Linked DNA regions of Drosophila melanogaster. Changing the gene in region 2 together with the main gene of any one other region gives a genetic interaction. Each region holds a gene or a part of one and is shown on either strand. Other genes may lie near its edges.

Region 1 (4,664 bases), on a different chromosome or scaffold from region 2:
CGCAGACGAAAAACGTTCGAAAAATCTGAGTAGTATTGTTTCTATTAGTTTATAAAGTTTTTCTGATTTTTCGCTTTTTTTTTTCACTAACTCTCCAATGATCCGTCTATGTTGGAGTTCGAGTGTGTTCTGATATTTTCGTTATTGGAACTTGTCAAATCTTCTTTCAGAAATTATTTGTCGCCTAGCACTTTGACAATTGTTGCACAGGTTGTTTGTTTGGTTAAGTGTTTAGTGTTTTAAGTTGTAGATTTCTTGATTAGTTTGGACACTTTGCAACACACGCACGCACAATACACAACACACAAAGAGGCACTCAAAAGGCGTGGCTGGCGAGGATTGGGATTTGGTTTTGGTATTGGTGTTTTGGGATCTTGTAATCGATGATGTTGGCGATGCTTGCACTTAATGATGATATTAACGCTGCTGCTCCGCTTTTTATTGCTAAGGATGTGGCTTCTGTTGTTGTTCTTGTTGCAGTTGTTGTTGTTGATTTAGATAATTCCTTTGCTAATTGCCGCTGCAACGACAGCAACAACGTAGCCGGCGCTATCGTCACCGCAACGTCAACGGATGGAGCTGACCACCACCACGTCGTCGGACCTGTGCCCGCTGATCCTTCTGCTCCCACACCCACTTCCACTCCTTCGCCTTTTCCCTCTCCTTCTGCCGCTTCCGCTGATCCTGGAGGATCGCGCAGCCACCACCGCCTTCTCGTTGCGGCGCCGTTGAGATCGTTGTCGCCGCCACTGGCGCTTTGGCCAGCAGACAACTTTTCCACCGCCTGGTGCTCCTCCTGCTCCTGCTCCTCTTGATGCTTGTTCTTATCCTGCGTCCGCTTGACCAGTACCTCTTCTTCTTCTTCGACTTCGGCCCTGCGCTTTTTTAGCTGCAATTTGTTTTTGCTGCTGCTGCTGATGCTGCTGTCGTTGTTGTTGTGGTTACTGCTGCTGCTGCTGCTGCCGTCGTTGTTCTCGTTGTTGCAATTGTTGTTTGTCGAACAGCAGCAGACACACGCGTGCATTTTGTGTTGTTGGGCCCCAAAAACACCAAAAGTTGACCTTGGCTGGGCGGCTCTTGTTATTGTTTGTTTGTTTGTTTGTCTGTTGTTGCCTGCCTGCCTCCACTGAGCGAAAAAGAACGGTTCTTGGTTTGGCTCTCTCCTCTTTCTCTTCCTTTTCTTTCCGCCTTTTTCTCCGCTATCTTACATATTTTATGTGATTTGTTTTTGGCGGCTTTTTGTTACACAGGAATATATATATATATATATAGATATTTTGACCATATATTATATATGCTTGTGTTTAATTTTGATTGCACTTGATTCGGTTATCGTTTACAATTAATAAGGAAAAAAAAGCAATTCACATTGTTGGCTGTTGTTGGGTTTGTTGTGTTTCGGTTTGTTTTTGTTGCTGGCGCGCTGCTGTTGTTTTTGTCGATGCTGATGTTGTTGCTGCTGCTGCTGCTGCCGACGTTTGCCGCTCTAGCATTACACATTAACTGCAAACGCACAAGAAGAATAATACACAGCCTATTAGATTATGTTGAATGGACGAACACAAATCGAAAGCAATATTTATTTATTTTCTTCTTTCTTTTTTGTAATTTAGCCGCGCGCGAGTGGACAGCGAAACCGAGGGGAAAATGGAAACAAAACGAAACTAAAATGCGACGAGACGTGCCGAAGACGGGGCGAAAAGGGAAGAACAACGAGAACAGTACCGAGAATTCTCTCGGTCTCGTTGCACTCATCTGTGTGCCGCTTGACGACCACTCACTCTCTCTCTCTCTCTTGTCTGTTCTTGCCTCGCAATTTTATTCGCCAATACTACCAGCGCTGTACTCGTTATTTTACTCGCAGACGTGTGTGTTGGCCTCTCGCTCTTTTGGCGCACACCACGAAAATGAAAATAATAATTTCATTTTGCCGCCAGTCCCCTAAAAAATATGGAAAACAAGTGCCGTCGTTGGCAAAAATATACTTTGAAACATGCTTAACATTTTTATGACAAATACATTTTTGGAAAAAAAATTTCACACCTTTACAGGTAATAAAAGTCAGAGCACTGCTTAAAAAAATTAATTGAAGTATCAGCCAGTTGCGGCTGTAGTCTATAGTCTAGTTTATAAATTAAATGGCCGAAAAAGTGGCCGTATTTTGGTTTTGCTTCCGCATTCGAGCGGCCATCATATGAAATTCAATTTGTTGGGGCGGCGAGTGGCGAGTGGGGTGCGAGCGGGATGACACTAGAGTGCAGTGGGGCTGGCTGACAAAAGCTTTCACACACTCACGCACGCACACATTTGGGGTTTGGGGCGCGCGTACAGAATTCTCACAGCGACGCCAACGCCGTTTTCACCACACAGTTACACACACGCACACTTCGAAAACAGCGAGTTCGTGCAAGAGCGAGCACGAGTCCGAGAGAGAAAGCATGCGATGGTATTAGTGCCAAGCGGCATTAGTGTGCAATATACACACGACGGTAAACGGCAACGAGTGCGAGGAGCATTGGAAAAAGAAAGAAAAACAGACGACAGAAATATATTCCATTTTTTTTCTGTGTTCGTTCGTCGTTTTCGTTTCGTTTTCTTCTTCACGTCGTTTCAAAGTTTCTATTGCAGAAATTTTTTGTGTTGTCTCCGCCAGAGCGTTTTTCATTTTTCCCGGCCCACACAAAAATCGCAAAAATATTTGGCGAAAATACGAAATTCAAGAAAATGCCGTAGAAAATTTGAAAAAAATTTCAGCCCGATTTTGGCCGGTATTTTTATTTTTCCACCGTCACCGATTGCCACGCACTAAATTTCTAACTATACTTTGCAATTTTGCCGAATTTCGGTTTTATACCATATATTTTTCACATTTTCCGGCGATTTTATAAAAATCCCACAAACTTTTTCGCAACACTAAAACAAAAAAATTTCAGTCCGCTTGTGTTAATCGTTCTCCGAGCCAAAAATGTTTTTGCTTCAGTGTGACCGCGGCTAGCCGTTCAAATACACCACCGAGCTCGGAAATACACTAAAATTGACTGTTTAACACAACACGCGAGTGGGCTCTCGTCGCTCTCGCGTGCTGTTTGGCCGCTGTTGTCGTACTGTTACGACCCGAAATCCATATAAATGCCTTTGCTAGCAGTCTGTTGGCCCCGTAACAGCTGTTAACCGCTGTCGGAACACTGTTTTGCTCTAGTCCCTCGCTCTCTGCGTCGGCGAGACCGCTCACGCCATGCGCTCCCAAAGAGCCGATACGCACACACGCGCACACATATGGCGCGCCAGATAACGAAGCAGCGAGTCCAGAGATGACCACATGATGACGGTGACACATTCGCCGATACTTTTATGCGGTCACTTGAAAATGTGCACAAAGAAGTTTTGTAAGAAACATCATTGGTTGGAGACCAACATCATTATGAAATGAATATTCTTTGCAGCGTTTTTGAGATCAAATAGGTATTCCAAAAAGATGTTTAATATGAATTAATAAATCAACATCTTGAATGAGTGCAGTTGTTTAGAATTTTTTGTTTAAAAAAGTATTTGTAGACATTAATTTTGAAAACGTTTGTCCATCGTAAAAATCTAGTTTAAAGTTCTTCAAAGGAAAAACGATATTTACAGAGGATCACGTAAGTAATCGAGTCATTGGATTTGCGCATCTCTGGTGGGTTCAGTGTTAGCGTGTTTTCCGTTCGCTCTTGCCGTGAGAGACAAAGAGAACGTGTGAGAGAGAGGCAAGCCGAAAAATCAGCCGCCGAAGGATACACTATCGTCGTCCTTGTCCGACGAACCGGTGGTCATGCAAACAACGCACAGAACAAATTAATTTTCAAATTGTTCAATAAATGTCCCACTTGCTTCTGTTGTTCCCCCCTTTCCGCTAGCGGAATTTTTTATATTCTTTTGGGGGCGCTCTTTCGTTGACTTTTCGAGCACTTTTTCGATTTTCGCGCGCTGTCGAACGGCAGCGTATTTATTTACAATTTTTTTTGTTAGCGGCCGCCGTTGTTTGTTGCAGATACACAGCGCACACATATAAGCTTGCACACTGATGCACACACACCGACACGTTGTCACCGAAATGAACGGGACGGCCATATGACTGGCTGGCGCTCGGTATGTGGGTGCAAGCGAGATACCGCGATCAAGACTCGAACGAGACGGGTCAGCGAGTGATACCGATTCTCTCTCTTTTGCGATTGGGAATAATGCCCGACTTTTTACACTACATGCGTTGGATCTGGTTATTTAATTATGCCATTTTTCTCAGTATATCGGCAATTGGTTGCATTAATTTTGCCGCAAAGTAAGGAACACAAACCGATAGTTAAGATCCAACGTCCCTGCTGCGCCTCGCGTGCACAATTTGCGCCAATTTCCCCCCTTTTCCAGTTTTTTTCAACCCAGCACCGCTCGTCTCTTCCTCTTCTTAACGTTAGCATTCGTACGAGGAACAGTGCTGTCATTGTGGCCGCTGTGTAGCTAAAAAGCGTAATTATTCATTATCTAGCTATCTTTTCGGATATTATTGTCATTTGCCTTTAATCTTGTGTATTTATATGGATGAAACGTGCTATAATAACAATGCAGAATGAAGAACTGAAGAGTTTCAAAACCTAAAAATAATTGGAATATAAAGTTTGGTTTTACAATTT
Region 2 (5,727 bases):
ACAAAACGCTGGCAAAGGCGATTGGGCCATTATAGAGCTGCAAGGCGACCTGGAGGTGCGGAGCAACCAGGATATGCACGGCCAGTTTATTGGCGATCTCTACTACAATAAATATGGCCAACCTGTGAGTTGTAATTGTAAAGTTATAATTTAACCAGCTCTTAAACAATCTGATTTTACTTATATCATAAGATTCTCATCATTGGACATCACATTCTTCAGGGACGTGAACAAAAGTTGGATAAACCATTTGCGGTGCTGGAAAAGTCCAAGACCAATGAGGGAGAACGACTCCTAGAAACGAGCATGGCCTCGCAGGATGTCAGTATGCTGAACGCCACCACGGGAGCGGAGCGCACAGTGCTGGATCATACGATCGCCCAGGAGCACAAGAGTCGCCAAAGAACGGAGTACACTGTGCGCGCCGTTTGCACCAAAAAATTAATCTTCAAATCGCGACCCAAACCAATTATAGCCAATGTAGCTAAATCCGTTTAGGTGTGTTTTCAAAAATATAGTTTTATTCAATTTGTATGATACGATTTTCATAAGTAGACTCGTTATCAAACAATTTCCATTTCACGCTCTATGCCCACGAACTTCAGCTGCTCCGTGGGTCCGTATCTGTAGTCAAAGAATAGCTCTTCGCCGGGCTGAATGGCCCGCTTGGCAAAGATGCCGATGCGATGATCGCCGGTGACCATCATAACCTTGGCATAGCAATTGGGATTAATGGAATGATTGGCAAACCGAATCTTGTTGCCCTTCCGAGTGGCATCCACAACAAAATCGTTGTTCAGATTGAAAAGAAATGAGCACATGTACTTGTCGTAAACCTTGCCACGGCGATCGGCTTCATCTTGGGATATGATCTCGCCACAATATTCCGAAATGAACTCATTCTTTTGCGCACCCTCCTTAAGAAAGATGCCCCAGCCGGCGATGTCAGACGGAGCCATGAGCAGGTGCTTGTCTGCAATTGAAGATTAAATTAGTTGACAGTGGCGAAGACCAATATGGATATATAAGAAGGTTTCTTACGCAGTCCTCGCTGCACGCACACGTTCTTGCACGTGATCTTGGTCAGCTTAAACTGATCCGCTCCGCAGGCCTGGCACAGATCGGGATCACACTCGCGCACTGCCAGATAGCAAGGACACTGCTTCGTATTGCACTGAGCCTTGCAGCGACAGCCGGGGAAACGATTCTGGCAATCGCTGCTGCAGTTGCAGAACTTTTCGCAGAAGTTTTGTGTCTGAATGCAGGAGCAGTTCATGTCGCATGGATGTCCGGGATGGTCGCAGGGCGTGTAGTTGTACACGTGATTCGAGGATGAGTCCTTCTTTAGCTGAATCTTACGACAGTGCAGCGACCACAGACGTTGCTTCTTCTTCTTCTTGCGCGGAGGTGTGAAGTCCTGTCGCAAATCCTCGAAGCTAAACTCAGCATCCTCCTTCTGGGCAAACTCGTACACCTGACGACAGGTCTTGGTCAGCATGTTGTGCGCAATCGCGCAGTAGTTCTTTAAATACACTTTATGCAAGACCCGATAAAGTGCTTGGTCAGCGCCTGTCCAAACGCACTGCGTACTGGTGATGTTCATCATGCCAGCTGGTGAGAAAAAGTGAAATATTTAACACATGGTCCAACCAATCTGCTAACTTAAAACTGACCCATAATGGAGTTGATCTCAGCCACAGCGGCGCTATTTACAGTCAGGCCATTATCCTTGCTATTCTCATGATTAAAGTCCTTGTTGCTAAACTGACTGTTGCTGTCATTACTGTCCTCGGAGCTGGCCTCATTGCAGGAATCAATGGGAGGTGTCTTGCTATCGGCCGCCAGCTTTTCCTTCATGCCATCCTGCAGCATATAACAGAATTAAAATACCATTTAAATTTATAAAGTGCATCCAACTTACGATCAACATGTAGCAGGAGTTGCTGCAAGGTTCGGCGAAAGGCTTCAGTTCCGGATAGCGACGCTTCTGGAGATTGGGACCCGCATGTCCTTGCAAGCCTGTGAACACAGAGCAGCGGGATTAGAATAACTCAATCGGGCGAAAATCACTTGATGTCTATGAAACGCTTTTGGATTAGCATGAGGGTAATCGGTTACATTTGAAGAGATAGAGAGAAATGGTCCAGCCAAAGCCACACGAAAATGAGGTGAGCAACACCGAGGGGTCAATTTAGACACATGACAAACATAGCCAAATTATCCACCGATATGGGTTATTATAAAAATTATATTCATAGACAGCGAGATGAGGATGCGGAGGCGTTGACGGGCAAACGGCATGAGAGTGTGTGCGTGTGGTTATCGAAACAACAACTACAACAACGACTCACCCTGCACATGGTGACCTAAATTGCAATTAATTCAATACATTTTGGAATTTCGTTTTTTTTTTTGGGGGTTTAAGAAATGGTACAGATTTGTGTTTTTTGGTAAGATAATATTGTTTCCAAACAAGAAAAGAAAAGCAAAAACAAAACGTAAAGTCATTAGGTAACCCAGCTGGCAGCAGTTCCCATCGTTTAACTTACGGTGCAGGAAGCAGTCGTATTTGAAGCAACGACGACAGAAGAGCGTGTGAAAGGAGTGCATAGTCCTTTCCCGGGAAACGCTCTCGGCCTTGATGCCGTCAATGTTGGGTGTGCACTCCTGTGGGCGCTCCGGATCCTGGTGCTCCGTAAGCTCAATGTACCTAGCAAAAAGAAAAAGCCGTAAGAAGGGATATTTACTAACCTGGTTATCAAATTACATACTTTTCTTTGAGCTCTTGCGCGGTGCCCTTGTCTGGAAAGTTAGCGCTGATGGCCTGAAAAATAATGGGCGCAGGGAAGGGCAGCTTGTCCTTGACTTCTTCCACATCGGGCTTAACATCCGCATCTTCAGTCTCCAGCGGTTCTTCAGTTTCCTTCTTCTCAACTTCAGTCAGATCCCCTTTGCTGTCGGTTTTCTCAAGCTTCATGGGAGATTCACCATCTGCGTCAACATCAACTACCCCATCATCTTCGCCCTGTTTTGATTTCGCCAACGTCTCTGTTTTAATGGCAGTCGCTGTACCCGGAGCGGCTTCCTCCAGTTCCTTGCTGTAGGAGCGCATAAGGGCGTGCACCAGTTCTACGAAGATGGCATCGTCCATGAACGAGGGATCCTTGTCGCCGTGAACCTTGCCATCGTAGTTTTTGATCAGTTCCTCTATGAACTTGCCATCCTTATCGAGGACCTCGTCGCCCATATAGGGTATATTGTGCAGCACCGTCTCATCCTCCACCATGAAGTTCTGCTGTGTTGGTGCCCACGTGTACATGGTGGGTATGGGAGTGACCGCGTTGATCACGCAAATGGGCACCTTTTGCGGACCGCTGGGAATGCCATTGTAGCTAGTCACCTCCGCCCGCTTCACACAGTCCACATGCGGCGGATCGTAGGGTTTAGCCTGCCAAACCTTCGACTCGCAGTACAGATCCTGTACATTGTGGTTGTGCTCGTCCCTGGAGGATATGTGTACATAGATTTTCGATTCCCAGACATCCACCATCTCTCCCGCGCTTACCAGTTTCTTATCCACGCCTCCTTGATCTCGTCGGCACGTTTGTAGCGCTTCTGCTGCCTGATTTTGATGTACTCCGACTTGACACGCCTCTTCCACTCGGGCGGCACTTTAGTGCTATTCATAATGCCTTCGAGGGACTTTATATTTGTTGATTTTACGTATAAAAAACACTGATTTTGCTACAAATATTATCCGCCTTTTTTTGCAACAGCTGCCGCAGTGTGACCGTTGTACTGCAGGAAGAATAACTTAGACACATGGGTGTATGTAGAAGACCATTTAGTGGGTACTTAATTTGTCCGGTAAGCCATTAATTATATTTATATTATAATAAAAACTATGATATTTTTGTATTAAAATAATATAAATATAATATAAATAATACATAAATATAATACTCACTTTAAATTAGCTATACAACCATTTTGTACTGAAAGTAGGAAATAAACAAAGAGCCCCTCTTTGGTACGACCCTGCTTTGTGTAGTGTTGAGAAACGCAGCCCGTTATCAGTGCTCTCAAACGTGGAATGTCATCAAAAACATAAAAAGAGGAAAAGAAAGCTATGAGAACCTCATCAAATAATAATAATAAATACAATAATATTTAAACTGGACAAATTTAATCGCATTAAGACGGCCACGAGCTTTGAGGAAATAGCTGCAATGGAACCGTCAGCCTGCGAAGGTATGTAACTCGCCGGCAAAAGAGAGCCGGAAAACGCGCAAGCCACTGACTATGTTTACCAACCATAACTGGGTTTGTTTTCCTCGCTCCTCTGCAGATCTCAAGGCCTTCGAGCGGCGCCTCACCGAAGTGGTTTCATCGTACCGTCCCTCGACGTTCCGCTGGCGCAGTAAGTTGCATCCGTATAATGAGAACACCAGGGAGCATTACAATCCGTAATAACCATAGAGCTTCTTGCAGTTGTCCTTTCCGCCATGTCCATGTGCACCGCCATCAGCGCCTGGTACTGGCTACGCGATCCGCGCACCACCGTTGTACCGCTAACGGAGTCCCTCTGGATTCATCCCGTCTTCACAGTCGCCACCCTAACATTGGGTAAGAATCGGTGTAGCCACTACTGTACTCCGTACATAGGTCACTTTTTGTAGTCAACAGCGGCGGTCATTGAACCTCGGATATTCTACCTAGTATGGAGAATAATTTTAATACCAAGCCATACCATGCTATTTAAATCCATATAATCATATCGTAGAGCAAGTCGATACTATATATCAGGTTATCTCAGGCTACTCGGTAAAAAGAAAGGATCAAAATCAAGAATTTCAAATTTTTAGGTATTTCTACTGTTATTTTGAGTAGAATACACTCCTTATATCTATCACATCTATGCAAACTACATAAGTACATTCTCCAAATTTTAGCAACATTAGGTTGCCTTTAATCTTGTCAAAGCTCTTCGCTTTATCAAATTCGATTTGTATATATCAATATTGATAGTCCAACTGATTAAGAATTTTCAGCTAACAAACACTTCCATTTAATCTAATCTAATTTTTTTGGTTTGAAACTGACTTACTGATTTTGTAAACCTTATCATTTCTCTCCGCAGTCGTCCTGTTCATCCTGGGCATACAGAAACTAGTCATAGCTCCGCAAATAATTACATCGAGAACGCGAATGGTACTGGGAGACTTTAATATGAGCTGTGACGACACGGGGAAGCTGATACTCAAGCCGCGGCAAAGTAACAACAACAGTACATGAGCACCGGCCAGCTTCCAGGACGTTTATTTAGTTAATTGCTAGTTCCCTTACCCTTTTCTTTTTTCCTACATGTTGATTCGGACACCCTCGCTTTGTAAGCGTATTTTTAAAGTACCTCTTATTTCTCCCCTACACATTTTGTTTAATTATAGAAGCTCCTTTGTACAAAAAAACAAAAAGAAAAGAAATCAATTGTTAAGCTTTATGTGTTTCGTTAATGGCGTTACCCATCGCTGCCAAATACACCAAGCGACATTTCAATATCAATTCATCTATAACTAACGAGTTGCTCGCAAATTGTGCAACGACAAGTGTTTTTGTATATTTGGAGCGGTTTTTATCGAGCCGCATTCTGTATAAATAGGGAGTCTGTGCAGTTCCAAGGCATCAGAAGCAAGCAAGCCATCTGTACAACAAACCAGCTTTACCATG
Region 3 (7,765 bases), on a different chromosome or scaffold from region 2:
GGTATTATTATTATGATAAGCATACAAAAAATAAAATGCATATGTTCACCACTTACATGGTGGCCACCTCCAGATCTTCCTCATCTTGCGGCCCACTCCTGGATGGGGGCTTCTCCACCAGCGGCGTAGACGTGGCCGAAGGCTGTTCGCCAGCAGCAGCAACTTCCGCTCCCGTTCCACTTCCTCCACTTACACTTGCACTTCCCCCTGTTGCCGCTGTCCCGCCACTATTGCCGGTCAGGCGGCGTATCCGCTTCTTGGGTATATTGCGAATGGCGCTGGCCACCGGTTGGCCCAGACAGAGCACCTGGGCACTGGCTATGCGCAGCGTATGCAGCTGTTCGTCATCGGTCATCAAGCGCATCTGATAGCTTTTGAAATAGCTCGATGGCTGACGTATCATCGGATTGCTGGACTTTGGTCCGTTGTCCGCATATGTGAAATTATAGGTAAAACGCTCCTGGCTGCTGCTCAGGCACATGTCCTGCTCGAAGTCGCTGTCATCGGGCTCCGAATCGCATTTCGATGGCGGTGGATCCTGTTTAGGTTCTTGTATTGTTTGCTGAATTTGCGGCTTTTGCTTTGGAGATTTTTGGGTGGATTCCGCCTCCGCTACAATGGGCAGTGCCGGAGCATCGGTTGTGGAGGAGGGTACCCTTGCCTCGACACGTTTCTTGGCCGGTTTCTTGGTATTTGCCTTGATTTGGGTCTTCGTCTTTGCTCCTTCAGTGGATTTGGAGAGATCTTCCGGAGCAGGAGCTAGTTTTGCAAAGACAATATATTAGTTTCAATACCCATTCGATTGGATCTTAACTACTTACTTTTATTTTCGACTAGGCGCGAGGATCGTCGCATACAGAGATTGGCTGGCTCCCCGTTCTGTACCTTTTTCGGGCGTCCACGTTTTCCAGGGGCAGGCTGTGCCGCAATTTCAACCGCTGCTCGATTTACCTTTGGTTTGATTACAATCGGTAATGATTCCTGTTTTTTCGCAGATAGATTGAGGGCCATGAGCAGAGCGGGATCCAATTTGCCGGCTGGCGGATCTGCTGGCGCATCTGTGGCGGCACCGACTGGCGGACCAGTAGCCTCTGTGGACTTAACATTCGGATTTGGTTCTATTTGCTTTTTAGCTGCTTTTGTTTTCAGTGGTTCGATGTGCTTTCGATTTTTTGGCGATTTTTGACTGCTTGGATTGGCCAGTTTGGCATTTTCACGCATTGCAGTGAGCTTCTTGTTGGCAGTCTTTCTCCCTTGACCTTTGATCGGTTGGGGTTGCTCCTTAAACTTGGCCACTACACGTTGGCGTTTTTCATTCAGCTGCTGGCGTTGGTGTTCCTGACGGCTTGTAGAGGCCGTTGGAAGAGCGACGGATGAAGGATCGTCCGCCTCTGGCGGAGGCGGTGGAGGCGGCGGAGGAGCAGCTGGCGGTGTTAGAGGAAGCGGCGGAGGCGGAACAGGAGCAGCCACCGGTTTAGGAGGTGTAGGTTTTGTTTGCTGTTCTCCACTGGTATCCGTCTCCTGGGCCTGCTCTTTGCTTGGTGTCAGCCAATTCCGGATAGGATAGCGGACCTCCCCGTCCTGGCTAACTAACTGACCTGGCTGACTGTCGATAGCAAGCATGGGCAGAACTGCATCCTCAGAACCGGCTGCCTTCAGCCACTCTTCGTCTTCCGTGCTGCTAATGTTCGATAAGTTATCTATGTTTAGTAGCATCTCCTTTTTCTTGCTGCACTTTTCGTCGGCATTCTCGCCATTTGCCTCTTCCCCTCTGCTTTCCCCCTTTCCGCTGTGAGAACTTGACGAGGATGAGGAACTCGATGATGAACTACTGGAGGAGCTTGAGCTCGAACTGGATGAGGACGATGAACTGGTTGCCGAGGAGCTAGAATTACTAGATCCTTCAATAATTGCCTCGGGCAGGCCAGGCAAAAGTTTATAGTGCGGAAGCTGCTGCTGATCGGAGGGAAATGAGCCAGCTGTAGCGGACTCCGCACTGTCCACCGCCTCACTGCCAAAGGATCGAACGCGTCGAAGGACGGTGGGCTCCAAGGACAGGACAACGGGTTGCTTCACAGCATCTGGTGTCTTTTCTAAAACCGTTTCATTCTTTTCACCATCGTTTTCAGTTTCCTTCAGATGTTCATCCATTGGCTTCTCTGGTCTTTTCGGTGTTTTCTTATTGTCCTCAGCATGTTTGTCCTCCGGATGAAGGCTTTTCTTTGAACACTCCATTTCTATTAGCTCTTGATTCTTCTGTTGCGAAAGCTCATCCTCTGCCTCAACCTTTTTCTTCTTGGGCGTTGACCGAACCTTGGGTTGTTTCTTATCCTGCGGATCACCCCACTGTTGTATTGCGCACTGCGCATTCGCATCGGTGTGTTCCGCTTCATCCGGACGATAATAGGAACTGCCTGAAGAGTACTCAGTCTTGGCAGCACTGCCTATCGGAGTACCGGGCATCTGTCCAAAAGGTGTCAAGCGAAATCCAGGTGTGATGGCACTCAACTGGGGCGTATCCATAATACTTTTGGTATCCGAACCAAAGAGAAAGCTGCTACTGGGCAACTTGCCATATGGCGTGTCCAGAGGTGGAATGGCCATTCCTGGCGTGGGTGGGATGATAGCGGCTACACCAACACCAGCTTCCTTTGATGTGGTGTCATCTTCTACGGCTCCGCTTGCTCCTGCTCCAATGGGAGATGCTTTAAACGGAGTGTCCAGAAGCATGGCCATGTTGGGTCGCGACAGTTCTGCCGCTAAGGCCTTCGCTTGCTCCTGATCCTTTGCATATATGCATCCTTGTTCACTTTTCTTCTTCTGATCCTTTTCCTCGATCTCCGCTTGGGTTTCGTCTATGGTTTCTTCTATGGTTTCGTCTATGATTTCTTCTTTTGCCTCAAACACCTTCTTTTTCTTCAGGAGCTTTGGTTTCTGAGGAGTGATAATCTTGATGTTGATCTTCTCAGTGGAATCCCCAACACTGCGCTGCGGTTTCTTTGCCAGATTCATGGGCTCCGCCTTCGCTTTGACCATTGGAGCCTTTCGTGCTCTCGACGAAGCTGAAGTGGGTGTATCTTTCTTCTTTGGACGCCTCGAGCGGCCGGAGGCCTTTACCTCCTCGCGCTTGGAGTTAATCTCACGCAGCCGATTTTCAAGGTCAGAATTGGAGCCATGCAACTGGCGCTGCCAGGCGGCCATATCGTTATCTACAACTGCGTCTCCTCTGGCGGCGGAGCCTACATCTGGCTTTCCTTCAATCTTCTGCTGCTCCTGGAGATTCTCTTTGCTGGCCTCGGCGCTGTCATCGTGAGCGGTCGACGATGCGCTGCAGGCAGAGTTATTTTTGGGCATAATTTTCTTTTGATCCTTATCCGTCTTGGTTTCCGATTCCGCCTGGGAGATGATTCGCTTGCAGGCCTTGACCGCTGCTTGTCGCTTCTGTTTTCTTTTGGGCGTGGCCACCAACGGAGGAACCGGAGCTGCTGACGGAGCGGCAGCTGGAGGATGGGCCCTGATCACCGTCTGATTGCTGCACTCCTCCATGGCGAAGAGTGGTGGCACTCCTCCAAGGCCCTCGTTTGAGCTCAGGTCGCAGGCGGCCTGGATGATCTCCACATGGTTGATAATTGGCTTCTCTTGGGCTTTGGCCAGCAAACCAGGTCGCCTAGTGGACAGCGGCGTATTGGAATGCAGGACGCCACCAGGAGGAACCTTAGGGGAAAAAGTTAATGTTCGTACATGCGAAGTTCTCTTTCGGGGAGTGGATAAGCTACGAAAGGCCTTTACGTTAATTATTCCCGACGTCGAGGGTGTCACTCTCTCCATGACTTGTCTAGATGAATCCAGGGATGCGGGTGGAAACTTTCGCTGCTCCTCCTCTAGTTGATCTATCGGTTGCTCTTTTGCCGCCGTTCCCTGGCCCGCCTTGTTGTCCACTTTGGCTGCATCTTTTATCAACTGGACTGGAGGCTCCACGCTTGGGGGAGGTGGTTGTTTCTGGGCGCTGCTAATGATAATGGAATTGGGGGGCAGCTGATTGGCAGACAGAGTAATCGGCTCCGGCAGCGATATCTCAATGTGCGAGTCATCAATGTTGGCAAAGGCATCCGGCCCAAGTTGCTGGGCTACCCACTCGTTGTTCACCAGGAATGGAAGATGCGACAGCAGTCCACCGTTCGAGAGGTACATGGGAAACGTCAGCTGCCCGGTGGTGGCGTCCACACAAACCTGACCAGCAGCTGTCGCCTCCACCTCGCTGAGCATTGACGCTGGATCGGCAAAATTTATATTGAGGCCTTCGCTTGTAAAGCTGATATTGGACGTATCCAAACCAGCAACCATTTTTTGGACACTCTCGTTGGAGTTCAGTACGATAAGCTTGGAGATGGAGAAATTGGGATCTGCATTGGTTCCTGCGGTGGCTGCAACGGCGGTGCGAATAATAAGCGGTGTTTGCGGCGGCACGGGATCCACGGCCTGTTCTGTCGGCAGCACATCTCCATCAGCAGCGGGAACAATAGCAGCCCCAGCAGCATCAGAGGCAGGCGACACACCAGGGTCCTCCTCATTTGCCAATGGTTCATCCCCGATCACCACCTCCTGTATGATGCGATCGAACGAGGGATCCTTCTCGGTGGCCTCCAGTATGTTCTTCACTAGACCATCCAACATGGCGTCACAGCTTACCGACGGATTGTTAACAGTCACCGTCTGCAGCGCTACGTTAATATTCTTTACCAGCGTCTCCTGGAAGTCCTGATTCTTAATTATCGCGCAGGCCAGTTCCTGAAATCAATGTAAATCGAAAGAGTGTTTTTTGTTTAGAATACATAATAGATGCACTATTGGTTAATTAAGCAGATATGCATTAAGCATGTCTATGGACTTACAGGCATGCTTTGCGGCGTGAGCAGAAGTGGATTGGACTCGGTATGACCTTGGCGCGGCGTGGAATTGTTGCGCGGACCAGGACCATTCGCCGGAAGTAAGTCATCCTCCTCCAAGTCCTCGGTGGCCGTTGTGCTCTCGCCATCCTCTTCGTCCAGTTCCGCCTCGCAGTCATCCTGGCTGCCTAGGAAACTCTGCCTGACCTTGTCGCGGTTAACGCTGCAGTAGAAGTGTGGCGGCAGCAGACGCGGTCGCTTGCTAAACGAAGGCGAAGAAATGCTGTTCACGGGAGAATGGGTGCGCCTGGGGAAAAGGGGTAAGAGAGCAATGAGAATTCCGATGTGCTTGTGTCAAGGAAAAATCTATAATTACAAGCGCCTTCTCTTGCGATGCGACTGTGATATGGTGGGCTCGCCTGGGGTGCTGCTTTCATTGGTACAGCTACTCCTCTCGCCGGCGGCTATCAGTTCGCTGACCCGTTCGGACAGCTTCATCTGCTGCAGCTGCATACGCATATCCAGCGGCAGCTTCTGCACGGCACCGGCCACTGAAAAGAGAGATTTTCGGTCAGCCGCAAAAAAAAAGAAACGCAAGGAGCGTGCTAATTTACCCAAGCTTGTGATCTTGACATGCTCGCAGATTATCTCCTCCAGACCCCCGTGAAGGAAGTTGTGCGTCTGCAGGCCCTGTTTAAGGGCCAGGAACTCGTGGCGCAGGTGAGGCGATGTGCGACACAGAGTGTGTGCGGCCCTTTTTAGATTCTGGTTGACTAGGTAGCCTACAAAATGGAAGAGCATAAATATTGCGAGCTAGAAAAGCGTCCAGGGAAAACCTACCCAGGACCAAGCGAGCCACGTCCGAATGCAGGACAATCGACTCCATGGCTGGACTTTCCGACTCAGCTAAGCGTCACCATCCACTCGCTTTTCGCCTTGCCTTTCTTTTTTTTTTCGCTTGCAAGACTTTAGGTTTATCGAACGCACTTGTAATGCCTTATTATTGACTGTTGCAGGTTTAATCACTCAATAGTTAGTCGGAATTGAATCAGCGCTTTAATTCGAGAGAGAATAAACCATTTTCTCGCCTATTCGCCGACTATTTTCGTTTTGTTGTTGCCGATTCTAGCGGCGCACTGTACAACACACATAGGTTAGCATAGCATCTGTGTTTTTTTTGCCGCCCGCCAAAACAACGCAGTAGGGTTGCCACAGCGCCGAACTATCGATATAGTCCCGTTGTTTGCGCTTGGCTGCCAAGCCTTATTAGGAGCGTGGGAAATAATGGTAATAATTAAAGCAAAGAAATACGTCTCTTTCGCTTAAAACAAATTATAGCAGTTTTTATTGCTTTGATGGTCTTGCTTCAATTCGTTTTTATGTGTACGTTACAGTACTTAGAATCCGATATTCGTTAAACTATCGATATGGGAATGCTGCAAATACCTGGCATCCCAGCAATTCATAACTAGACGGCGTTGCCAAATAGATCAGAACGCAAAAACCAAGTGCAATATTTTATTCGAGTGACTTAGATTACTGGTTAACTGGCACTCAATGGCTGCCAAGAGTATCGAGAAGGAGAAGGGCGAGGGTCAGGAGCCCGCGACATCAGCGGAGAAACCCGATCCAGCCGCACCCACTGAACCAGCTGAGGAAAATTCCAAAGAACCGGCGCCGGAAGACGCATCGCCGGATAAAAAGGATGGTGGACGCAAAAGGAAGAGGCATTTGTTCAATTCGATTCGCGGTCAAATGGAATTCTACTTCGGTGACGCCAACTTGAGCAAGGATCGCTTCCTTCGGCGCTACGTAGAGCAGGATCCATGTGAGTAGCTAAGGTTGGCTCACCAGCCAACATAACACTGATCATGTTATTCTTTTACAGATGTACCATTGGAAATCTTTCTCACTTTCAATAAGATAAAGACGCTCACCCAGGATGTGCAGCAGATAGCCAAGGCACTAAGCAACTCCCAGCTTCTGGAGCTGGATGAGACCGAACTAAAGGTCAAGCGACGTACCAAGCTACCAGATCAGCGCGATGTCAACGACAAAACCTTGTATGTAGAGGCCCTGCCTGCAAATGCCACTCACGATTGGCTGAAGGAGGTATTCAGCCGCTACGGACCGGTGGCCTACGTGTCCCTGCCCCACTATCCGGGCACTAAGAAGATCAAGGAATTTGCCTTTATCGAGTTCGAAAAGAGCGGGTCCTTGGAGAAAGCTGTGAAGGCTTTTGCCCAGATACAGGGCGTTTTGTCCGTAGAAACCGATCCCAGTGATCTGGCCAGTGTGCGCTCCTTTCAGCAGCAGCAGCAGATACAACAGAAAGCGGAGCAGCCGCAGTCAGAGGCTGAACAGGTTGAGTTGCCAAAGCGAAATCTAAAAAGGGAGGCCACCGACAAGGATCGCGAGGAGATACACGAGGTGAAACGGGTTAAGTTGGAGGAGGGCCAGCCTAGCGAGACCTCTACAGCTGGGGAAACAGCGAGTGAAACGGATGCAGAGGGCACAGCCGAAGCCTCCGAGCAGGAGGACAAAACAGAGGCAACCGATGGCGATGAAGCTGCCAAAAAGCGCCGTCGCAAGCGCAAGAAGAAGGCGATCGTGGACAAGCCAAACATTGAGCCCAGTGCCCTGGAGCTCAAGGTGCTACCCAAGACTAGTTGGAGCAGTATGCGCAATAAGTACTTGAATCTACAGCGTCGCATCGTCAGTGAGGCAAAGAGCAAGCTGTGGCGAGAAAATCACCCACAAAATCAGCAGCACCCTCACCACCAGCAGACCAGTCATCCAAACCATCCGAAACCTTCACAGCTGCCCGAGGCAGTTAAAGAGGAGGAAACCGGAGGCGAGGTCCCTAGCGATGGCGGTGA
Region 4 (6,147 bases), on a different chromosome or scaffold from region 2:
TATTTTTATAAAAATAAGAGTAATAACAATGCATGCAACACATGTATTCACATGAATATATGGGGAGATTGCATAGCATGGGCTTGTACAGTGTACATAAAATAAGCCGTCGCCGATTATATAGGACCCAAGAATATCATATTTTATATAGAAGCAAGCGCAAGCAAATAACCCAGGCAGCATGCCCTCAACTTTCAGTCGTAAACGGAGCGATTGGAAGTCGCTCCTAGTCTGTAAGATCCACGATTAACTAGCCGCTCTCTCCTTCGGTTAACTTCGTTCCGGTGTCACACATCTCTGCAAGGAGGGCATTATTGGTGTAAGGCAAACTTTTGAAGAAGGCAACCTTAATGATAAAATATGTATTTAGATATCCCTAAGGTACCAGCTAATGTCAAGATACTTTAATAAAACCGAATTCAAAATTGCAAGTATTGAAATATCGCCGACTAACTTTTATATGTGTTGGTTTTCTTTGGGTTTATATGTGCTCTACAGTCAAAACTCATTTTCATTTCTGTTTTTTTTTTTTTTAGATTGGTTTATATTCTGGATATTAATACACTTTTAAGACATATAGACTAAATTCTTACTGCTATGTTTACACTGCGTTTGGTGGCTATATATTTATGCTAGGTTTCGAATAAACATTTCAAACACGCACACCAAATTTCCAACTCTTATGAATATTTTGAAATCCATGCGCTGTTACATTTTGATGTGGGTGCGAGTGTATAAATGTTAAAAAATAGTTGCCATAACCGATAGAAATATAAAATGGTAAGGAGATAACACAAAAAAGTAGAAAAAGAATCATGTACAATACAAATTAGGGGCGAGTGCTTATATACAGAGTGTTTGTGTCTAGTTTTTAACTAAAACTAACGTATTTTTCCGTTTGCATTTGCATAGTTTTGAATATGTTACGCTTAGAACTAGATTTAAAGTTGAGGCGCTGCTTCTCTTTGAATACAAAGAAATCCTGCTTTCTAAAGGATTTTCAACTTTCCGCTTATCTCTTTAGTTTGTCTAAAAAGGCCTCAATAACAACTTAATATAATAAAATACTAACATTTACAGCGTTTCGTTTTGAAAAAGAGAGATAATAAATAAACTAAGAGTTTTTCAAAAATATCAAAACGGGATTGGGCATAAGGGGTTGGTGGTAAAGCAACGAGGGTCAGATCTCTAAAGCCTCGAATTGAGTAAACTAGTGGATCCGGTTTCATTTCTTGAAAACTTCGTGATACCGGGAATTGAAGTGTTCTCATATTCTAAATAAATAACAAGTAAACGGTTTACCGTTTCCGATTCCAGTACCTTTCCGGGGAATGAAATTGGTAACATGGCCCTCGGCTACGATTTCGCAGCTTCTCTGTTTACAAGTTGGCTTGAATTGCATTTAAAATAAATACTACACTACTAGCAGGGGCTAAGATTACGTTTACACTGCTGCTAACTGTCCTGGAGGCGGACTCTCCTCAGATCTTTCTATTTGGGTCTGCTGCTTATTTTCCTCACTTGGTCGCCGCTTCTTTAGTGGGGGAATTTCCGTTTCAATAGCGGGCGTTGGCTGCTGTTCTATAATGCAGGCGGTTCTTTTCTGGCCGGGACTGCTGTTGGGCAGCGGTTCGTTGGATCCATTCACTATATCGGTGACTATGTGAGCCTCCAGTGAAGGCGGTAGCAATGGTGACAATGGAACGGCGTTCAGATCACATGCATCCTCATCATCATCCTTATAATTGTGCCCCACATTGCCAAAGAGATCACTGTGTCTATTGTGTGATCTTTCCTCTTCTTCGTCATCATCATCGCTGTAATCGTTGTCCCAGAATACCTGGGCTCCTGGAAACACATACGAATAGTTGTTGGTGTGCGAATAGAATGTTCCAGGCTGCAGACGCTCGGCTGCTGTCTGTCGCTTTCCCCTCTGTTGTGGAATGGGCGTCAGGCTGGGCGCCACTGTCTTGGTCTCCTGAACAAGATTGCTGGGTCGCACGTAGCTAGGCGTGGCTTCGTTGTCGCACTGCTCGATGCCGCTATCCTTGGAGGAATCAATGGAAAGATGGCGATAGCTCTCCACCGTTGTCTGAGGGCCTTCCAGGCCCAGACGATCGCAACTTAGGGCTGTGGTCTCGTTCAGCTCAACCAGTATGTCTGTTTTAATACGTTCGATGGCTGCCGCTTCGGCGGCAGTGGAACGCTTTCCACAGCTAAAAGTAGATGACTCAAATCCACTATCCGAGCAGGTGCCAGCTGATCCTAGTATGTAGTCCGCCGAACTATTTGATTTAATAGACTGCGTATCCGTGTCCAGTTGCGACTGTCGCTCGCTCTCTGAACTGCAGTGGCGGTGGTGAAGTAGATGATGATGGAGGTGGTGATTAGAGTGCTCCGGAGGCATTAGCTCCTTGCTTTCGGTAAGCACTGACTCATCGCAGCACAGCTGCCGCCAGCAATCATCGTTGTCCGACAACCGGTGGCAAATCTGGTTGATGATCACATCGGAGTCGCCCAGCAGCTCCACATCGAACTTAAGGTGATGCAGCTGCTCGCGATTGATAAGAATCTGCGGCACCGTGGCCGGTATGCTGCTGGGAATGTGGGCCACAGGTCGGACCTTCAGCGAGGAGCCGATCACGATCAGTAGATCGCACACGTCCTTGTCGGTGGCCATGACCGTGTGGTACTCATCCGGCAGTCCTGTTGGCAATATGAAAAGCAAACACAATATGATATATGGTAAATAGCGTTACTTTGTATTTTCAATAGTTTATCTCTTAAATAAACACTTCTTTTGATCGTCGAATTTGAAATTCTTGCATTTATTTTACCAAGGCTATTGATAATATATAATAAATCTGTATAAAAATGGCACCTACCCTCGCCGAAAAAGACGATATCCGGCTTCATGATGCCGTTCTCGACCAGTTGGCGCAGCTCCTCCTCAGTAACGGCCACCGAGGCATCCACGCTCTGCTCCTTATTGGGCTGGCACTGCGGGCACACCGGAATTCGCTGGGCAAATATGTCCGCCCGCAGGGCGTCAGCGTTGCACTTGAAACGACACTTGGTGCACGAGGCCGTTGAAAAGGAGCCGTGACACTCGATTACTCGCTGAATGCCTGCCACCCGCTCGAGGGTGTCGATGTTCTGTGTGTAGTTGCGCAACAGTTTGCCCTTGGTCTCCAGCATTTTGATGAAACGATGGCAGGGTGAGGGCTGAAACTCGCCGGGATATATCTCGCGGGCAAACTTGTAGAACGGTCGTGGATCCCTCTTGAAGTAGTTGATATCAAACATGGCCTGCGGATCGGGCAGATCGGGAAAATCATGGGCCAATCGCGCATATATGCCATTGGTGGACCGGAAGTCCGGAATGCCGCAGGAGACGGATACTCCGGCTCCCGTTAGCACAATGATCTTCTGTGATTTCTTGACCAAACTGATGACATCGTCGAAGGTGTTCACTGAGGCCAGCTTGTTGCGCCGCTTCGGCTCGTTCAACAGGTGGGCCAAATAGTCCCACAGCACGGAGTCGTCGGTGTCGCCCGCCAGGCCGGTGGCGAAATGCGGCATAATGCTGGCAATAACCTGGCGCGGCACACGACCTGTGTAAAATTCTCGTTGCAACCAGCGCAGCTTCCAGTCGGGTTCCACGGATGAGGAGCAATTTGAGCTGGAGTCCTCATCCTCGTTGCTCGTTCCGGTGATTCCCTCCTCGTCGTCCTCCTCCTCCTCCTCATCGTCCTCTTCCTCCTCCTCCTCGTCATCTTCATCCTCGCCCATTGACTTTGTGGGATTTTTGGTTTTATGCTCCAAATTGGCGCCAATCTCTTGTTCTTCCCTGGCAGCCAATGTTTTTGTTTTGATTTCACCATTTGCTTTGCCAGCAAGTTCGCTTGTTGCTGGTTCTGTGGTTGTTGCTGTTGCTTCTGCCTCTGCCTCTGCCTCTGTTGACGTTGAGGCCAGAATTTCCGCGCCAAAATCAAACTTAGTTGGCGGATAGAATTGCGTAGTGTCTGGCACCTGGTTGCCCAGATCTTTAGACCTAATGTGGCCCAGGCGAATTTCCTCGTAATTTTCCATCATTTTTTCCGAACCCAAGCGCGCGCACACGCGCACACACACAGACTCACGGAGAGAAAACTCTCGTAGTTGGTGCTGTTGCTGGCTCTTCTTCTTCTTGCGCGAGTGTTTCCTCGGTCTCTCCGCTTTGCGCTCTCGCCTCGTCCGTTTTCTCCGCTCTTTCGTTGGTACACACAAAAATTTTTACGTCGTCAGCTTCGCACCCATTTGGCTTGATTGAAAAAATTCTCCAGCGATCGTTTGGCCGCGATTTTTTCAACCAACCCGACTTTATTTCACGTATATGCACGAAACTTAAATTTTAAAAAAATTTCGACACCATTTGGTTGCGATTTTTTCGTAATTTTCGAGCGTAGTTTCTGGAAAATTTTCCGATGAAAAAAGCAAGATGGCACACGTAGCTGCGCCTGTGTGTGTATGTGGGCTGGCAGACGTGATTCGGGTGGGACCCTGACACGTCGTGTGGAAAGTGCTAACGCGTTTCTGCATGGAAAGTGCCGCCAGCATGACTCATCACGGTATGTTTTTAGTATTTTTTGGGATTTTTGAGGGTGATTACGTGTTGCTACAGTGGCCACTGCCTTATGTCATATCTAATTTAATCCATTTCTTTAAAAACTGTTTAAAATATATCAATAATTTGTCAAAAAGTTAGTAAAATTAATTTTAAATTATGCTTCGAACTTTAATTTTAGCACTCTTTTACTTATCAAATTTACTCGATATTTAAACAATTAAGTAAAAATAATTTTTTTGTCCAATATTTACACATTTCATAGTAGTATTATAAATTGATGTATTGATAATATGCAGTTCATATGTCCAAAAACTTCCATCAAGCTGTTAAATACAAAAATGTGTAAACAGATTTCCAGAACGTTCCAGCAAGTGTCTACTGTTCCCCAAAAAAGCTGCGATTTTAAGTATTTATTTGGTACTTTCCCCAAAATTATAGGTTTTTGGTAGAACTTGGGCATACTTGTTAGCCAATATGACTTGAAAATATTGTCATAAATACATTGTTAAATAATTTAATAAGTCGTACACTTACAATGTACAAAATATTTTAGTTTGTAGGGGGACTGGGGATGCAATAGGAAATGGACAACCTAAATTTATACGACGTTCTTAAAGTGGCTCCGGATGCAACTGATGAGGAAATAAAAAAGGTATGTAACAGTTCCAATTCGATATGTTGGTAAATAGTTTGTATTCACCTTTTCACCAATAGAACTACCGAAAATTGGCAAAAGAGTTCCATCCAGACAAGAATCCCGATGCGGGCGACAAGTTTAAAGAAATATCCTTCGCCTACGAAGTGCTGTCCGATCCCGAGAAGCGGCGCATCTACGACCGATATGGATTGAAGGGCCTGCAAGAGGGCGCCGAGGGATTCTCTGATGCCTCCGAATTCTTCGCCCAGTGGTTCCCCTTCGATCGAGTCTCGTCCGAAGGTCGGGGCAGGCGCAATGGCAAAGTCGTGGTAAAAGTGGAGCTGACCCTGGAGGAGATCTACGTCGGCGGCATGAAGAAGAAGGTGGAGTACAATCGCCAGAAGCTGTGCTCCAAGTGTAACGGCGATGGCGGTCCCAAGGAAGCGCACGAGAGCTGCGAGACCTGCGGCGGAGCTGGACGAGCGGCCGCATTTACCTTCATGGGTCTCAGCCCCTTCGATACGGTATGTAAGAATTGATTGTAGTTGTAGTGAATGCACACCGCGGACCACACATCCGTGGAGATCCCATATACCACACTTCGGAGCAGATTATTTAAATTATTTTTTTTTGCAGACCTGTCCGACTTGCGATGGCAGGGGCTTCACCATAAGGGACGACAAGAAGTGCAGTCCCTGCCAGGGCAGTGGTTTCGTAGAGCAGAAGATGAAGCGGGACCTGGTTGTGGAGCGAGGAGCACCGCACATGCTAAAAGTTCCCTTCGCAAATGAGGGCCACCAAATGCGAGGCGGCGAATTTGGGGATCTGATTGTAGTCATCTCCCAGATGGAACATCCAATCTTTCAGCGCCGCCATGCCAATCTGTACATGCGAGACCTGG

What was found.
Region 1: of E(z) (region 2) and nej, changing one suppresses a phenotype caused by changing the other (phenotypic suppression), as found in Drosophila melanogaster (one study listed by BioGRID).
Region 3: of E(z) (region 2) and mxc, changing one enhances a phenotype caused by changing the other (phenotypic enhancement), as found in Drosophila melanogaster (2 studies listed by BioGRID).
Region 4: of E(z) (region 2) and Sirt1, changing one enhances a phenotype caused by changing the other (phenotypic enhancement), as found in Drosophila melanogaster (one study listed by BioGRID).

What each region holds. Positions count from the first base shown.
Region 1 is NC_004354.4:9,682,649-9,687,312, forward strand, and holds the start of nej (nejire), read right to left. Parts: upstream 3,020-4,664; 5' UTR 2,902-3,019; exon of another isoform or gene 2,855-2,901; intron 1,504-2,854; 5' UTR 1-1,503.
Region 2 is NT_037436.4:10,634,075-10,639,801, forward strand, and holds E(z) (enhancer of zeste), read right to left. Parts: upstream 3,806-5,727; 5' UTR 3,688-3,805; coding exon 3,566-3,687; intron 3,504-3,565; coding exon 2,772-3,503; intron 2,711-2,771; coding exon 2,550-2,710; intron 2,367-2,549; coding exon 2,352-2,366; intron 2,020-2,351; coding exon 1,922-2,019; intron 1,864-1,921; coding exon 1,674-1,863; intron 1,612-1,673; coding exon 1,042-1,611; intron 974-1,041; coding exon 564-973; 3' UTR 501-563; downstream 1-500. Other genes in the region: CG34001 (uncharacterized protein), read left to right, coding at 1-124, 193-498; Cnep1r2 (CTD nuclear envelope phosphatase 1 regulatory subunit 2), read left to right, coding at 4,230-4,251, 4,349-4,420, 4,480-4,626, 5,141-5,295; CG18628 (uncharacterized protein), read left to right, coding at 5,725-5,727. UniProt on the Drosophila melanogaster protein: Polycomb group (PcG) protein. Catalytic subunit of the Esc/E(z) complex, which methylates 'Lys-9' and 'Lys-27' of histone H3, leading to transcriptional repression of the affected target gene.
Region 3 is NC_004354.4:9,237,433-9,245,197, forward strand, and holds the start of mxc (multi sex combs), read right to left. Parts: upstream 6,036-7,765; 5' UTR 5,773-6,035; coding exon 5,727-5,772; intron 5,669-5,726; coding exon 5,501-5,668; intron 5,438-5,500; coding exon 5,263-5,437; intron 5,194-5,262; coding exon 4,893-5,193; intron 4,789-4,892; coding exon 822-4,788; intron 760-821; coding exon 57-759; intron 1-56. Other genes in the region: Larp7 (La related protein 7), read left to right, coding at 6,444-6,714, 6,775-7,765.
Region 4 is NT_033779.5:13,163,939-13,170,085, reverse strand, and holds Sirt1 (sirtuin 1), read right to left. Parts: upstream 4,523-6,147; 5' UTR 4,096-4,522; coding exon 2,886-4,095; intron 2,707-2,885; coding exon 1,445-2,706; 3' UTR 535-1,444; downstream 1-534. Other genes in the region: DnaJ-H (DnaJ homolog), read left to right, coding at 5,193-5,261, 5,324-5,770, 5,883-6,147. UniProt on the Drosophila melanogaster protein: NAD-dependent histone deacetylase involved in heterochromatic silencing. Mildly suppresses the heterochromatin-mediated silencing phenomenon known as position-effect variegation (PEV). Required for epigenetic silencing of the polycomb group proteins.